Danio rerio: one gene and its partner. The protein of the gene in region 2 purifies or fractionates together with the protein of the main gene of each other region. This does not show direct contact. Links are inferred from orthologs where the notes say so. Each region holds a gene or a part of one and is shown on either strand. Other genes may lie near its edges. The genes, in order: armc8 and ranbp10.

Region 1 (4,332 bases), on a different chromosome or scaffold from region 2:
AACCAATATAGCGGCAGGGAAGAGCGATTCAGCACGTTTTTACAAAAAATCAAAACAGGTCGCACTACAACCATCTGCAGTCGCACTAATGCGCCCAAATATGTTATGAGGTCGCATAGATTAATTTTCAGGCGCATATGCGACCAAAATGGTCGCAATTTCAGCTTCAAATGTTGTAACAAGCACGTCTGAAATGAGCCCGAATTTCTGTAGATTCAAAACAGTCAGCACGGATATCCCCGCCTCTTAAAGGAGCAGTACTAAATTACAAAGGGCTCAAAAATAGTCTTCTGGCGCCATCTCGTGGACACTCTGACACGCTTTGAGTCTGAATTTTACAAATTTAATATAAAAAAAATATTTATAGGAAAACTGTTATTTATAATTACACCAAATAAATATGATAATTATCTGTAATTTCAAACACATCTTTTGGCCAAATTTGAGGATTGTATACTTTTTTATATGCCCCAAATACTCGATACAATTTTTTAATTAAAAATTTTTTAATTCAAAAACTACAAATCTTATCAGCATGAGGACATACAGCAACCATCTCCTGAGCAAAAGACAGCTTTTGACCAAATTTGGGGCTTGTAGCATCTAAGCCCTGGGAGGAGAAGCGATTGCTTTTTTTTGGTCAGAAGCCGGAATAATAATAATAATAAGAATAAGTTTAAGTAGCATTACAGTATGTTGGCTTTCTCAAGCCAACATAATAATAAGAATAAGTTTAAGTAGCATTACAGTATGTTGGCTTTCTCAAGCCAACATAATAAGTCTGACTTCAACTGTATATATATATATATATATATATATATATATATATATATATATATATATATATATATATATATAATAATTATTATTAATAATAATAAGATTATTATCATTATCATCATCATCATCATTATTATTAGTATTATCATTATTATTAATATTATTATTATTATTATTAATGAAGATGAAAAGATTGTGAATGTTTAATCATTGTTATTTCAGTATTTTGTGTGATTTTTAAAAAAAGTATTAATGCCTTTCTCCTATTATTGTTCAAGCATTTGTTAATAAAAATAGGGAACTAATCAATAAAACTTAAAGTCATAAAAGTCAGAAAGCCAAAAAGTTATAGGAACCATAAATATTATGTACATGTCATGTTATGTTCATATTTATTATGTTATATGATATATATTTTGTGCAGAACTCCTTAGATCCCGGAATCCAGTGGTGTGGAAAGTGCTGGTGGGAACGTTCTGCTGGATAAGGTTGTAACGAAAGTGCCGCTGTAAATAGTCTGCTGACTGAGCTACGTTCGTGTGGAAAGTGCCGCTGTGAATATTCCGCTGAGTTAATGATGGCGTGCCTGTTGGAGGCCCCTTTACGCATCAGCGTGTTATCTGTGAGTCTCTTTGGTTATTCCTTTTAAAAACTCACATTTTCACTTCATGGTTTTTCAGATATACACTACACACATTACATAGACCTTAGCGGTTAATCTTAACTTCACCGGTGTGGCTTTTCTGATGACTGCTTGTCTGTTTATGTGGCTAACAGCAGATCTGGATGGGCTCAGAGCTGTCAAATCAAAGTTATATTTAGTTTTCTATCTATATTTAGAGCCTCGGCTTCAAAAACAAAATCAAACCTGCTCGATACTGTCTGATGAAGTGCTTAAGGGATGATCTGATGGGCAAATGTGCTGGAAACGCCCCCCTTTTGACAGCCCTGTAGTTTGTGTCCAGTGTGTTTTGACACATGTTGATCTGCACTCATTGTGGTGGGACACCGGTGCAATGATGAGATCACCTGTCAATACTGTGGTACCTGTACAGAGTAAAGATTAAAAATAGTGATTATCATTCTTAACCGGTTATTAAGAAGTACTTCAGTGGTAGTGTAGAAAAGTATGGTGTTACTATGATTCCTTTTGGAGGTGACCTCTTTTAAAAACTAGCTTTCATGTTTTGTTTGAATTGAGGTAAAGTTGGTTTTATATTCGTTTATATATCGCTCCTTATTGTTTACCACTTCATTGAATATTCACTCTGAAACCAATGTAAGTATGACTTCAAAACAGCATTGACACTATTTGATTGGCTATAGACCATTACAATGTGGTGATGTCATTGGTTCATGAACATTCCCTGCTTGTTATCAAACTAATTAATAACTGTAACAAGAGGTAATTCACTCATAACTTAGTGTCAAAACAGCTATTATAACATTATTTATCAATATGTGGCTCTTTTTGGATTCTCGGAAGCTATATACATTAAAAATGTAACACAGGAAATATGTTTGGACCATTGTTTTTGTTTACATCCTTCAAAATGGTCTATAAACAGTGTTGTACTTTGATAGTTGTTGAGAGCTAATATGATTGCATTTTTTAGAAATTATATTATTAAGGAGAAAGCCAGAATGTGTCAATATAAAACCAACTTTAGCTTAGTCTTTTTTAGGGCTGCACAATATATAGTTTCAGCATCAATATCGTGATCTGAGCATTCGTAATATTCGCATCACAGGATCTTCAATGCTGAGTCTGGATTATATTAGTTTATTTTGTATTAAATATTTTTTGAGGCCTGTGATGATTTTAAAAGCAATCAGACCTAAGAAATTGTACTGTTTGTAACTTAAAATGATTAGCTAATAATAAATAATTTTATTGAACTGTTATATAGCGAAGACTATGCCGTATTATTTTACATTTGATTCTTCAATAACTATATGCAGTCCTCAGCATAATTAAGTGCACCCCATTTTTGAAAATGAACATTTTTATACATTAGTGAATATAAACAATGTATTTTGGTATGTTTAAATAAAACAGATTTATTAAACAGATATATTTATTCAAATAATATTTTAATCAACAAACATATTTAGAAATTGAAAGATTATACAATTACATTCAAGCAAAATATTGCAAAAAAAATTAAAAATAAAAATAAAATTACAACCTACAAAATTTCAACAGAATTTTTAACTTTTTTTCAATTATAGATATTATTTTTCTATAACGTACATTTGGGTGTACTAGTTTTTGGACCGTTATCGTCAGTTATTTTGTTAGATAAGCTCCAGATTTGGCTTTAGTGCTGACTAATCTAATGTATATGCACAATTATAATATAACTTCCTATTAAAAATATGAATTTAAAAGATAGATTTGTGAGGGGTGTACTTGTATATGCTGAGAACTGCACCTGAACAGTGTTAAGACATCATGGAAAACAATAAAACATTTTATTTTATTTATTCTTTTTCTTTATTGAATGTATCTATAATTGTAGATTGTCAATTACATGTTTTGCAGATGCACTCTCTTAAAGAATCATGTAAAAAATCATGTATAAATTATTTCCAAATAGAGATATTCAAATCATCTTGTGAAATTGTGTTCATATCGTACACACACATACACACACATATATGTAGGTTAGATTTTTCCAATACCGTGCAGCCTAGTTTTGTATAGTATCTTCTTTTCTGTTCTCAAATGTTTTTAATGTTCTTCTCTAATTTAATCAAATCAGTAGAGTGATACTGTTAAAGCGTTAACTCTTTGAAGTATGATGAATAAATGCTCTTATCAGAAAGTCAAGTTATTATTGTGCATATCAACACAGTTTCTGTTCACAGTGTTCTTATTATTTATGATTTACACCTGAGGTCTCTGAGACGCCCATAAGAATTTTGAAAATTTTATCAGCATAGTGATATTTCTGAATTCTTGTCATGATGTCATTTATTGTCGTATTACAAAACTGCAAGGCATTCAGACCCTAAACAGATGACAAGAGCACGTGTTTTGGCCTACATTCCATCCCACACTTTAACCAATGTCAGATAAATGTTAATGTTTATGTAAGAAGTGCAGCCTAAATGCAATGACCTCTAAAATGACAGCCACATAACTCTTTAGGGCTGGGTAATCAGAGTTAGACATAATGCTTATCCCATAATTATCCCACATCATTCAAATGCATTGTTGCAGTGTGTTTAAAGCTCATTTTGTGCTGGAACAAGTTTTGTTGGTGCCTTCTACAAGTCAGTGTGAATTTTTGAGCTGTTGGAAATACTGGTAGGTAAATGCAGTTTTTAAAAATAATTTTTTTATTTGATGTGTGAATGTTATGCTTAGCTTTTTTTCGAAGTGTATTTTTTTCATAATTCTTTTCATGAATAATATTATTAATAATAATAATTATTATTATTATTAGGGCTTGGTTATTATTCGAAAAGTCGTCGAAATCGACATTCAGAACCTATAATCGATCTAATTTTACCGGGTACATTTTTTCAATAACTTTTCCTAGCACA
Region 2 (3,835 bases):
AACATTTAATAGGCTGAATAATAGAGGAGCTCAATTAAGTGTCTCTCAAGGGAGAAGGACAGAGAATCAGACGAAGAGCAAGTCACAGCTCAATCAAGAATGAACAGGGGCTAAAAACAATAAAAATAATAAAGTCAGTTAAATATGTCCTGTACCGGCTACTCCATTGCCGACACTGTTGTCATCCGCCTGCAGGATTTCCTGGTGTTTGTATGTGCCGTTCATAATGCGAGTTGAGCTTTCTGTCACACCATTGCTGTAATGTTCTGCCTCAATCTCCATCTCACTATCACTGTCAATGCACAAAACAAACACAAGTCAAGACAAGATTCCGAATTTATATTTTGGCATCCAAATCCATATTCAGTTTTTCTGTTTCAAAGTCAAAACCACAACCACCAACACAAATCAGTAGAAGCACAGATCTAGTCTCCTGGTTGCTGGGGGCCATTATATAACATGTGCCTAAAGGTAAGGCAAAGGTGCCAAACTCAAATGAAGTTGGGGGATGGGTCTGTGAAAATATTGGAATTTGTTTAGTTAATTCTTAATGACATTAACCATTTTTTTGGTTTATTCCTGGCCTCTTCCACCTTGCGGTGTAGAGGCTGATCAAAGTTTTTGCCACCTTTTCCTGTCTGTGGCCACTGTTCTGACGCAGTTTGGGTCTACTTCTCTTTTTTGGAATGCTGGGGTAAGCGAGTCCATCCAATTCATTCAAGGCCTACCTCTTTCCTTGGGTTCTTGCCTCTAGCGTCTGCTTTGGAACCCTGTGGTTTTCATCCTGACAACATGACCAAACCACCTCATCTTATGCCTGTCAATTATTTCAATCAGTGCTTCGACTTGTAGGTTTGTCCTAATGGTCTGGTTCCTTACCTGGTCTCTACGAGTTTTGGCAGAGACTTGTCTAAGGTACCGCATCTTCATCGCCTGCAATCTGTTGTTCCTGCAGCTAGTAAGTGGCCAAGACTCACACCCGTAGGAAAGAGTAGGCACATAGGTGGAGTTATAAACAGCTAGCTTTGTTCTGGTGGAGATTTCTCATTCCCAGAAAGGCTCTGTTTAAAGCGTGATATAGTCTGCCAGATGCGGCAACCCTCACTTTGAGATCCTTATGAAGTCTCTCATTCTCACTTAACACTGTTTCAATGTATCTGAATTCTTCTAGGGCTGTGCAATTAATCCAAATTCAGTTTTGATTTTGGCATCTAACAATTAAGAAAAAACATTCATTCATAAAGAGTTTGTGTTGTTGTGGGTGTGCGCTCAGAGACGAGCAGAACACACACATCTAACGTCATCTTAATGTGAGTGCTTTAATGGTCAAATACATGCAAATTTGTGTCAAAACGTGGTGTGATTACTCATATTAACCCTCATTTATGTAATAAACAAACAGGTTGAGAAATAAGACATGTGAAAGTAAAACAGTAGATCAGTAGAGCGTAGTCCTCTTAAAGTGACAGCACGCAATATTCCTGCTGCTGACTGTTTTTATCATTAATCAAACAACAAAATAACAAACTCACTCATTGCTCATGACTGAAGGACTTATGTAGCTTTAATTAAAGTTTTTTCTTACAGTAAAGAACGATGCATAAAGAACAGCTTGTTTCATTTTTTTTCTATTGTACTTATTTCCCTTACTTACGTCAGAATTATAAGCGGCCCTTTACATTTTCCCCTAATTTCTGTCTAACAGAAAGAAGAATATTTTCAACTCATTTCTAAACATAATAGTTTTAATAACTCATTTCTAATAACTGATTTCTTTTATCTTTGCTATGATGACAGTAAATAATATTTTACTACATATTTTTCAAGATACAAGCATTGAACTTAAAATGCATCTCAAAGGCCTAACTAGGTTAATTAGGCAAGTCATTGTATAACAGTAGTTTCTTCTGCAGATAATCAAAAAATGCTTAAGGGGGTTAATAATATTGATCTTAAAATAGTTTTACAAATAGTTATCCCTGCTTTTCTTCTAGCCAAAATAAAACAATTAAGACTTTCTCCAGAAGAAAAAATATAATAGGAAATACTGCGAAAACCTTCCTCTGTTAAACATCATTTGGGAAATATGTATTTATTTAAAAAAAAAAAATCACAGGAGGGGAAATAATTTTGACTTCAACTGTATATCGTTTTGAATAATTGGGATTACAATTACGACCAAAATAATTGTGATTATGATTTTTCCCATAATCAAGCATTATTAAAGCAGACATTATGTTGTATACTTGTAGCTCCTCAAAATTTTCCATCCTAGAATTCCATCTGAAATTGTATTTAACTTTCTAACCAATTTTTTTTAATTATTATTTTATATCAGTTTGTATAACCCCCTGGGGTGAATTAGTTTTTATAGAAAATCATTATTCTTTTAGGACTTGCTCAAGAATGTGCAAATCCCGGACGAGCCCCCACATTTTTGTTAAGGCCCAGTCTAGTGGCAACATGGAGAAAAATAAACTATGAAAATCACATTAGAAAAATGCATAGTGTTCTTTTCTTTACTGTCAATGACAAACACAACGAAAAAAAAAAACATCCACACACAGACCTAGTCTCCTGGTTGCTGGTGGCACTGTGAGGCTGGGACTTGGTTGAGTCGGTGGAGTTGGACTCAGAGTAGTTGACGGAGGAGGGAGAGGAGGATGGAGAGGAGGATGCAGAGCTTATGCCTGTGTATTTGTTGTGGCTCTTATTTTTGTTTGGAGGAGTGACCCCGTTACTGCATGTGGGACTGTCTGCGCCTGAGCCACGAGAAGAGATACACACATTGGAAAGTATCATAAGGAAAAGTGTGAATGAAAGTACATTCATTTTAATCAATATAAATCACCCAAAGTGCAGCACAGGTGGAACAAACGACAGGATGAATTATCTGTTTTGCATCTTTTATAAATGTTACTCATGATCAGATCCACACAGAATCTACACCCACAGAATTATGAATCATCTATGAAACATCTGTTCTTTACTATGTTCTACACAAATATCTAGGATCTTTTAAGTAACGCTTTTAGCTGCTGATTTAAAAGGTTAGCAAGTTAAAAAAGTGTGAATCTCATGAAGACATTATTGAAGCGTGATAGAAGGAAATTCGAAAACTGTTTGTGGAAATAGAATGAAATTAATGAGCCTAAGAAGCCTATTTTTAGGAACAATACAAATATTTGCATTTTTACTATATTGTCTAATAAATGTAATGCATCTCATTCACGTTATTTAATGGGATAAAGTATTAATAAATAATTATTAAATTATATATGCAATTATGTACGGTATTTCTTGAACTGATATCAAACTTAATAAAACGTCTAAAGTTTATAAGGTATGTAAGGTTTAATATAATATTTTAATAATAATAATGACTAAAACTGATTTATCATTAATTGTTTGTAATTGCATACAATTCATTTTAAATTTGCTATATTTGTTATATATATATATATTTATCTATAAATCTATTTGTTATTCGGTAATGATAAGGGCAATTTGTTTTGGCCCTCTAAATACTGCAACCAAGACTTCAAAAATAAAATTAGTTCAGTCGAAAAACGGCCGCTATAGTTATGAAGTGGTGTGCGTCTGTTCAATACAGCACAAGCTGCAGTTAAAGGCTGCGCAGAGAGTGAGTCACTGGACATGTTTGGATATGCTTGCAGAAAATGCCGTATGATACCATTAATAGGGATGCAATGATTAGCAGATTTCACTATTAACCCTCCTTTTGTTCATTAATGGTTTGCCAATACGCACACACATTAGATTAACTATAGCAGCAAGCCATTGACATAGGGCCTATTGCGTCTTTTCCGCACAC

Evidence for each region.
Region 1: the proteins of ranbp10 (region 2) and armc8 purify together in Homo sapiens (affinity purification with mass spectrometry; 5 studies listed by BioGRID and IntAct, with this or other methods). This does not show direct contact. The link is inferred for Danio rerio from reciprocal best matches to the Homo sapiens genes RANBP10 and ARMC8.

What each region holds. Positions count from the first base shown.
Region 1 is NC_133184.1:29,548,317-29,552,648, forward strand, and holds the start of armc8 (armadillo repeat-containing protein 8), read left to right. Parts: upstream 1-1,350; 5' UTR 1,351-1,357; coding exon 1,358-1,402; intron 1,403-4,332. UniProt on the Homo sapiens protein: Component of the CTLH E3 ubiquitin-protein ligase complex that selectively accepts ubiquitin from UBE2H and mediates ubiquitination and subsequent proteasomal degradation of the transcription factor HBP1.
Region 2 is NC_133193.1:23,393,230-23,397,064, reverse strand, and holds part of ranbp10 (ran-binding protein 10), read right to left. Parts: intron 2,763-3,835; coding exon 2,570-2,762; intron 293-2,569; coding exon 171-292; coding exon of another isoform or gene 156-170; intron 1-155. UniProt on the Homo sapiens protein: May act as an adapter protein to couple membrane receptors to intracellular signaling pathways.